Oryctolagus cuniculus: one gene and its partner. The protein of the gene in region 1 binds, or shares a complex with, the protein of each later gene. Links are inferred from orthologs where the notes say so. Each region holds a gene or a part of one and is shown on either strand. Other genes may lie near its edges.

Evidence for each region. The genes of interacting proteins can lie anywhere in the genome.
Region 2: RUVBL1 (region 1) and MBTD1 share a complex: the UniProt entries of both Homo sapiens proteins name them as parts of the nuA4 histone acetyltransferase complex. The link is inferred for Oryctolagus cuniculus from reciprocal best matches to the Homo sapiens genes RUVBL1 and MBTD1.

What each region holds. Positions count from the first base shown.
Region 1 is NC_091441.1:110,808,782-110,813,039, forward strand, and holds the start of RUVBL1 (ruvB-like 1), read right to left. Parts: upstream 2,913-4,258; 5' UTR 2,803-2,912; coding exon 2,662-2,802; intron 1-2,661. UniProt on the Homo sapiens protein: Possesses single-stranded DNA-stimulated ATPase and ATP-dependent DNA helicase (3' to 5') activity; hexamerization is thought to be critical for ATP hydrolysis and adjacent subunits in the ring-like structure contribute to the ATPase activity.
Region 2 is NC_091448.1:27,053,621-27,057,988, forward strand, and holds the start of MBTD1 (MBT domain-containing protein 1), read right to left. Parts: upstream 2,841-4,368; 5' UTR 2,511-2,840; exon of another isoform or gene 2,192-2,510; intron 1,650-2,191; 5' UTR 1,587-1,649; intron 1-1,586. Other genes in the region: UTP18 (U3 small nucleolar RNA-associated protein 18 homolog), read left to right, coding at 2,984-3,325. UniProt on the Homo sapiens protein: Chromatin reader component of the NuA4 histone acetyltransferase complex, a multiprotein complex involved in transcriptional activation of select genes principally by acetylation of nucleosomal histones H4 and H2A.

The sequences.
Region 1 (4,258 bases):
ATGCAGGCTGCTGTGTGAACGCACAGCAGGAGTACAAGTGGGGGCAGTGATTTTTAGCCTAGAATACAGAGAGAAACTCCAGGGGCCCACACAGCACCTGAAAAGAGAAACAAAATTCTATCTATATGTCCTTATGCACATTTTTTCCAAGAGGCAGATTAATAGCTCTCATCAGATTCCCAACTAACCCACTAAAGGTTCAGCATCAATGATACTGGGGCCAGTGCCGAGGTGCAGCAGATTAAAGCCCCGGCCTGCAGTGCTGGCATCTCATATAGGTACCAGTTTGAGTCCCAGCTGCTCGACTTCTGGTCCTGCTCCCTGCTAATGTGCCTCGGAAAACAGCAGAAGATGGCTCAAGTCCTTGGGCCCCTGCACCCACGTGGAAGACCCGGAACAAGTTCCTGGCTCCTGGCTTTGGATCAGCTCAGCCCTGGCCGTTGTGGCCATTTGGGGAGTGAACCAGTGGATGGAAGATCTCTTTTACCTCTCTCTGTAACTCTTTCAAATAAATACAATAAATCTTATAAAACAAAAACAATCCCTGATACCAGCACCTAGATGGCCATCAGTGAACTGTGCAAAGCCAACACTGGACGTGAGGGTAAATCTGTGGCACCACTAGATCCACCGATGCCTTCTGAATCCCCAAGATTAAAGTATTCAATTCCCTGTCAGTGTATTCTACACACACACACACACACACACACAAATGGGTTACCAGTCCTCAGACACTGTAGAATATTTGACACAAAGGTGTAAGGATGAGAAAGTCACAGTACTGAGGACCCACATCCCAGGATCACATAATATAAGCTTTGTTCCCTTGAATTAATAACTGATACAAAACCTAAAAGGTACCTTCTCCTTGCCTGAAGGAAGGCAGTGGTCATACTGTTCCCTACTGACAAGATCTTGTGAACGCGTTTGCTCTCTCTATTCCTTGTGGACTGTGAAGTACCTCAGTCACACACTATAGCAGCCCCTAAAACGTGTGTGCAAGGACTGTGTGTGCACGTGCTAGATTCACTGCTGCTTCAATGAGCAGAGTGCCCGTTACAGAGCCTATTAGGTATTCTTCAGATGCTATATTGCTAAAAAGGATGGAGACTTGCTGTGGTCTCCCATATAGTCTTCATATGATCCTCAGCACTGGAGCTCCTGGGAAACTCAAAATAAGGCGGAGACGGCTTTCCAAACTTTGCACTTGTAACTCTCTTACAGACAGAACCTCTTCCATGTATTCTCCTTCAGTTTACCCTCCAGCTTCCCTGCAGTGAGACACACGGTGAACCCTGACATCGAAAAAGAACCGAACAGGCCTTAGAGTCCATGTTGGCTCTCAGACGAGCACACTGAGCGCCAGAGAGGCTGCCGACACCACCAGCCCCATACAAGAACCTGGCAGCAAAGGTGGGCCTGAGAAACACAGCATCAGAGTTCGGAGCGTGGATTCTGCAGCCACACAGACCTGAGTTTAACTCCTGGCTCTACCGCCCACCAGCACGGGGACCTTAGCCCACATAACCTCATCGGCCCTAAAGGGTTTAGGGGTGAGCTGTATGGATGTTTGCCATCTACTCTGAAATGTCAAAGTGGACTGGCAGCTGGATAGATGAATAGATGCGTGACAAAGCAATGGCAAAAATATTAATTGTAGATTTTTGGGCAGATATCTACTGAACGAGCCAACATTTCCTACGTTGAGGAATACAGTACTAGAGTGGGGGAGCAAAATTATTAGACTGCAAGTGAATAACAAGACAGTGGGAACACAGCTGCTTAGCATGGTGCTTGGCCCAATCCATGCTAGCTGCTTGCAGTAACAGGTGCTTTGTTGAGTCAGGGTCAGACGTTTCCCTACTGGAAAGATGATGCTCAAAACAGAAACCAGGGGCTTGTCTTTGGCCCTTTCCATGAGCAGCATCGGGCTGAGAGGCATGTCTTCACTTCATATAAAGTGCAGGGTTTTGTAGCTGTCTAGCCTCTAGGGCAGGGCTCTTAGCCTGGAGCGCAGGGGGCTGAGAAAGGGCGGCAGAAACACATGGACGTGCGAATGCCAGCTTTACCCTTTAAACTACAGTGGCAAGTGGACTAGCGGCCTCTCCCATCCTTATTTTTTTGCCGGTAAAACAATATTGTAGGGGAATGGACTTGGCATCCCTGTCACTTTAATAAAATCAGGACCGGAGCGACCAAGAAAGATGCTTGCAGGAGTGGGTCAATCAGATCACTCCTCTCACAGCTCCCGGGCCTGGGAACCAGAGCGAGCTTTCAAACTCCTACAGTTTCCCTGCCATGCCGACAAAACCCTGCACAGAGGACCCCTACCAGGACACAGTCATTTTATCGGCCCACACGTTTATCCTCTCAGCTCACCGCACGGAAATGTAAGCGCCGGGAAAGCAGGGACCTTTTCTATCCTGTTCCCCGCCGCATCCCGGCGTCGCCAGCCGAGGCCTGGCACGCAGCCGGGAGCGCCATCAACACCTGTCGGTGAACTGGCACAAACCGCCCCCTGCTCCCCGCGGCCCGTCGCCTTTCTCCCACCCCCACCCTGCCCTGCGGAAATGCGGGGCAGACCCCCGGCCCCCGCTTCAGCGGCTGTGGCGCCGCAGCGGCCCTGCCGGAGCCCCCAGCTCCCCGGTCCGCCCGCCACACCTCTCGCGCGTTCTCCTGGCCCACGAGCCCTGAGGCCGCCTGCTTGGCCAAGCCGCTCTCGTCCAGCCCCAGCCCCTTCACGTGGCTGTGGGAGGCGATGCGCTGCGTCTTCGTGGTGCTCTTCACCTCCTCAATTTTCATTTTTGCAGGCGACGGGAGCCAAAACCAACGTGGAAAATCAGGACCTACAGCTGCGCGCCTGGCGCCCGGGTAACCATGCGGCTGTTACCACGGCGGTTTGCAAGGGCCCGCCCAGGTCCTTGCTCTATTGGCGGAAGCGGAAACGCCTCCGTTCCCCATTGGTTTAAGGCCGCGTCCATCGCGATTGCCGGTGGAACCCCGCCCATTTACTTCCGGCTGTGTCACTGGGTTGAATTTCCCCCGAGCCGCCACTTCCTGCCCCGGCCGGTGGCGGGAAGGCAGAAAGGTAAGTCACGGTGCGAGTTTGGAGGTGGTGCTTCAAATCTGGATTTTAATCGTTCCATCTAATCTATTATCATACTTAAACGTCACGCCTTTCCGCGGAGCTCAGGTTATGGCCTCAGTTTGGACATGCAGGAACTGAGGCGAGCTTAAGCTTTGACTTTGGGTTGGTTACTCCGAAGTTTTCCAACTCCCAAGCGTTTGCACGTGCCTGCGAAGGTCCCGCTCAGCCAGCCATTCCCAACGCTGCTCCGCTCAGAATCCTCCGTGGAACTGGCTTCTCTGCTTCTCTCCTCCACCCTCCTCCTCTGCTTAAGTTGCCTGCGAATAGCGTTGCACAGCCCTGTAAGGTGGTATAATGCCTAACGCAGATAAAAAGGCTCATGAAAAAAGGTCCAGTGACCTGCGCTGGAACACACAGCGATGAGCAGAACGGGAAACCCCAGAGGAGACTGAGCCCGTGTAACCCTCAGCCCATCCCAGCACCTCAGAAAAGACCATCACTCTCCTGTCGGCTTCATAATGGATTCAGCACCACTGGGATGGAAGCTTCTGACGTTCTTCAGAGCCCCGAGGGACGGGGGCCAGGTCTTGGAAGGCTAAAGTTGTTAGTGGTAGTGTGTGATTAATCAGCCCTAAAGACACCCCCTCAGGACACCCAGAGATGCTCAGCGTATCATTGACAGGCCTGGTCGTAAGTGTTGCATAAAGAACTGTTCCTTTCAGGGTGTGGAAGGAAGGCTTTCCACCAACGAATATCAAAGTGAGGTGCTCTGTAGCAACAACCTGTGTGTGTTGTCCAGTGAGGAGGAAAGACCGGTTTTACATTTATTATTTTAAGCCCTCAAACTCTTCTCTCTTTTGGCACTGAGCAAAGAGAAGGATTTCCTGGCAGCCAAAAGAAGGGGAGGATGCAGAGGTTTTTAGGGCTCAGAGGAAGCTCCTGGACCACTTGGTCCAGTGGCTTTCAAAGTATACTCCCTGGAGTTATAGAATCGTTTTGTGGCCAGAATGGGTAGTGAAGGGGAAGGCTGAGAATTTAGGACACTACCTCCATTATACCCCAGCACCCACTCCTTGTTCCACCAGAGCTGCTTTGGTTTTTTATGCTATTGACCTGGTCAAAAGTCACTGATCCATCCTGGCATTTTCATATTACAGGTGAGGAAACCGA
Region 2 (4,368 bases), on another chromosome or scaffold:
ATGTTTTACAACCAGCCATAAAAAATATAGCAGCGTCTTCTTTAAAAATAAAACCAGTTGTTCCTGTCTAGTATGTTCAGAATGCAAATATCTCCAAAGCCAGTCAACTTAACTCATGACACTTCATGTTTAAAGCAAGCAGGAAAACAACTTGGAACTGTATTAATTAAAACTTGAAAGACACAATTATGTAGCTCTAGTAATTTTGTTTGTGACGTAGTACTCAATTCCACACTACATTCCATTTTCTAGCTTCAGAGAAAACGCTATACCAAAGTTTACATTAGGATTAAAACTCGGATGGTTGAAAAACATGTCCCAACATAGGACACTCTGAATACTTACTCAAAAACAGATTTTTGCCATAATATGCAACGTATACACAGGCCTTGACTACAGAGTTCTATACAAATAGAAGCTACCTGTTATACAGAGGAGATGGTACAAAAAGAGACAGCTGTTTTCTTTTTAAAGACTTTTGAGTGTTGAGGTAAACAAATGAGAAATAACACCTTTAGCAACCAAAAGCAAAGCAACAGTCTACATATCTTGAGAGGGAGGGGAAAAATTGTGGTCTCTCAGACCTTTTAAACAGGCTATCAGGAACTTAGAGTAAAATGTATTCACTTGCTTTTAGACATGACTTCGACATAATATGTATTAATTCTTACTTCACCATATTAGGAAAGGGAAAACATATGTACCACCACCCCCTTCTTATGCCATCTAAACTACTGGAGGCAGCTAGCTCACAAGGAAAGAGAGCTTTAGACAATCACTGAGTGACAACAGCTGAAGCTGAACTGCCTTAACTACCCAGTGATAAATACTGGGGTGTACTCATGCGAGCAGCATTAAAATACTGCAAATTCTAAGGAAATACTAAGGTGTTGCATAAGCTGCAAGTCTCTCTATGATGGAGTTGCTGGAAGAGGGGCTCCTGGGTGGGAGACCAGCTCTGATAAGTTAAACAAGCGAGAACGCTGGCGGAGGGATGCTGTTCTGCTCAGCTCCACCGGCTGTTTCTTTCTAACGGCTCAGTAGCATCACCACAAGGCAACGCCAGGCTTCCTTAGGGAAAGCGGTTTAGGTAGCAAGCAAACACACTTCATGGTAGGGCTGACTATACCGATGACGCTCAAATGTCCAACTTCAAAAAGATGCACTGACTAGGGAGAGAAAACGGCCTGGAAACCCTCAGACTGTCATTCCCTGGTTTCCTGTGTGTGTGTGTGTGTGTGTGTGTGTAACAAAAAAGCACAACACCAGTTTCTTCAGACGTCTAAGCCAGCACGCTTGACACCGACCCGGCAAAGTTTTCAGCTGGCCCTCGCTCGCCCTCACATTCTCTTTCCTCCACTTCCCTGCCTGCTGTTCTTTCCTGGTACACAAAATATAGGCCAATGAGCAGTGGGTGGGTGAGGAGGATGTGAGAGAAAAATTTGAGAAGTTGGAAAAAAAAAAAAAAAAAAGAGCAACTTCACCAGGACGCGAATGACAGCGGAGGATCTCTAAGGACAGGCACACAGCAATGCGAACCACTGAAACACGGAAGGGGCTTTCCTGCCCGAGGCCAGACTACCTACCACTTGTCAGAGAGGCTGCACGGGGGACGGCGGCCGTGGTGACCTCTAACGTCTCCTCCGACTCTGAAACGTGAGGATTCTCAGTTCACACAGGAGAACGCCGAGCGCACCCAAGCCCACCGCCTCGGGACCCTTCTAAGGGAGCGGCCCCAAACACCACTCCCACCCCGCCCTCCCACACGTGCCCACCCCGCCCCCTTGCAACATTTCCACCTCCACGTGCAAAATGCCTCGCGGCACCTCCCCCGGCAAAGCCCCCAAACCCCGCGCCTGCGACCCCCTGGGAGGTGAGGACTCGGCTCGCCCACCCCGGGCGGCTCAAAAAGGAAAAAGTCTCAGACCCAGCCTTCCCCCCGACCCCCAACCCCCAGCCGCAGCGACACGGGGACGGGGGCGTAGAGAAAAAACTTTCTTTTCAAAATTTCCTTCCCGACTGGATGAGCCGGAGAGAACCTCGACGCGTCCCGGGCTGAGGCAGTGGGGGAGGGGAGCCCCTGAGACGTTTAACGGCCGGTAGGGGGAGGGGGCTCCGCGGGGTGAGGGGGCGTGGGGCGGAGGAGCGGGCCTGGGAGCGGGGTCAGGGAGCTGGAGGCGTGCCCCCCCACCTGGCACACAAAGCGGCTGCCGCGCTCGGCTCTCACCAGATCCTTTGTGTTTTCCATCAGGGCCTCATGGGTAGGGGTTGTCCGTGCTCCCCGAGCCCGCGGCGCCCCCTCCCCGAGCTGGGGGCAGGTGCCTCTCCCCCGGACTGCGGCGACTACAGGGGTTCCCGGCTGGGCCCAGACCGGTGGCGGCTGCAGCAGCCCCCGGATTTCCCCCCTTTAACTCGGGTGGCCCCAGGATATCAACAACATTAGCATAGCCCTCCCTCCCAGCGCGCCTGCGCCGTGACCCGCGCCCCGATTGGCCCACTTCCCCACATACCCTCCTCTCGCTCTTCCAGCGTGGGACCCTCGGCAGGCTCCGTACTCTACGGACCGTACCAAGACCGAGGGTGGGAAAAGTAACTGAGGCTGGCGTTCTGTCGAGTGGCTAGAAAGTCTGGAGGAAAAGGAGGCGTCTCATTCAGTCATCCCAGCTGGTGCTCCTGTTCCCTTAAACGTCTTTCGATATGCTCCAGCTGCGAGGTTGTGTTGGGGAAAATTTTCCACTCCAGTCATGCCGCTTACCCCTACACCCGGAAGATTGCTTCTCCCAAAGGAACTCCCACTCGGGGCGGGGCAGGCGAGGAGGAACAGAGTTACGTAGTGTGGGGGCGGGGAGGGTTGGTCACGTGGCAAGAGGCTGCGCAGGCTCCTTCCGGCCCCCGGGGCTGCGGCGGCCGCGGGAGGTGAGGCGCCTGGGCGCATGCGCTTGAGGTTCCACGTGAGCGCCTGCGTTTCTTCTCAAACTCAACGATGCCGCCGGAACGGAGGAGCCGAACGAAACCGGGCCGGAGAACCGGAGCGAAGCCGGATCGGAAGACTCGAATGAAGCCAGAACGGAGAGCCATTGTGGCGACGGGCGGGCCGCCCCGAAAGTCTGCCCTTTCATCCCAGCAGAAAGCGCCGGCCCGGCCGAGCGCGGCGGCCGCGGCGATGGCAGTCGCGGCGGCGGAGGAAGAGAGACTGCTCCGGCAGCGCAACCGCCTGACGCTGGAGGACGACAAGCCGGACGCGGAGCGGTGTCTGGAGGAGCTGGTCTTCGGCGACGTGGAGGACGACGAGGACGCGCTGCTGCGGCGCCTGCGGGGCCCGCCGGTGAGGGAGGCCGCGGCGCGCGGGCTGGGCGCGCTCGGGCGGGGCGCGCGGTGGGCGGCGAGGCTGCGGGGGCGGAGCCTCGGCGACCTGCGGCGGCGGCGGGCAGCGCTCAGGTGGGAGGGAGCCCGGGGACGCGGGCCCCGGGGGCCGCCGCGGAGCCTCCGCCGCCCCCCGGCGCGGGCCTGCGAGCCTCGGGAGGGCGGGGACCGTGCCTTTCTCCGCCCCCGGAGGAGCCGCTGCGCCGGGTATCCAGCAGGCGCTCAACACGCATTTGTTTCGCTAACTGTAGTCGCGGGCTTCCCTAGCGGCTCGGCTGCGCTCGCCCGCGCCGGAGCTGAGCCCAGCACCCCCGATTCCTGGCGGTGATGCAGGACTTGACGGGATCGCTTGGTGGGCGCGGGTCTGGGAGTCCGCGTCCTGAGCGCTCCCACGTGGGCCTGACGCACAGCAGCTTTGGAGAATGATCGCTTGTGTTCGCCCATTCAGCAAACTCGAGTATTTGCAAATACTGCCAGTGGCACAGCCTGCGTCATTAGGACCGTTAGGTTCTTTATCACTGTAAATTATATTCCTTTTTTTTTTCCTGCCCATATAGGGAGTAAAATTTTAGGCATGCTGTAGATGGACATTGGGGGGAGACACAGCAGTGGGCAGCAGAGGCAGAAGGCACCTAAATTTAAAGTACATCGGTGACAGGTGTGAGGAGAGGAGAACAGAATACCGTGGGGGGCGGGGGAGTTGGTGTGGGTGGGAAGGTTATGGAGTTTCAGGTCAGGTCGCGGGTCAGGGCCTCCCTAAATGGCTCAATGAGGGCTTGTTAACTGGAGAGCTTATCTAGCTGCAACCTCCGTTGGGTGCTTCGGGTCGAAGCTGCAGCAACCCAGTGGGAGAGGAGTTTGGGAACTGCTGGTAAAGTGCTCAGCACTGTGCAGATTTGTGTCCAGGGAAAGGAAGCGCCTGCCTGACAGAGGGGGATTGGTTGGGCTTGGAGGGTCTGAAACCAGCCGTAGAGCGAGTAGAAATCACTGGCCCCTTCTTTAGTG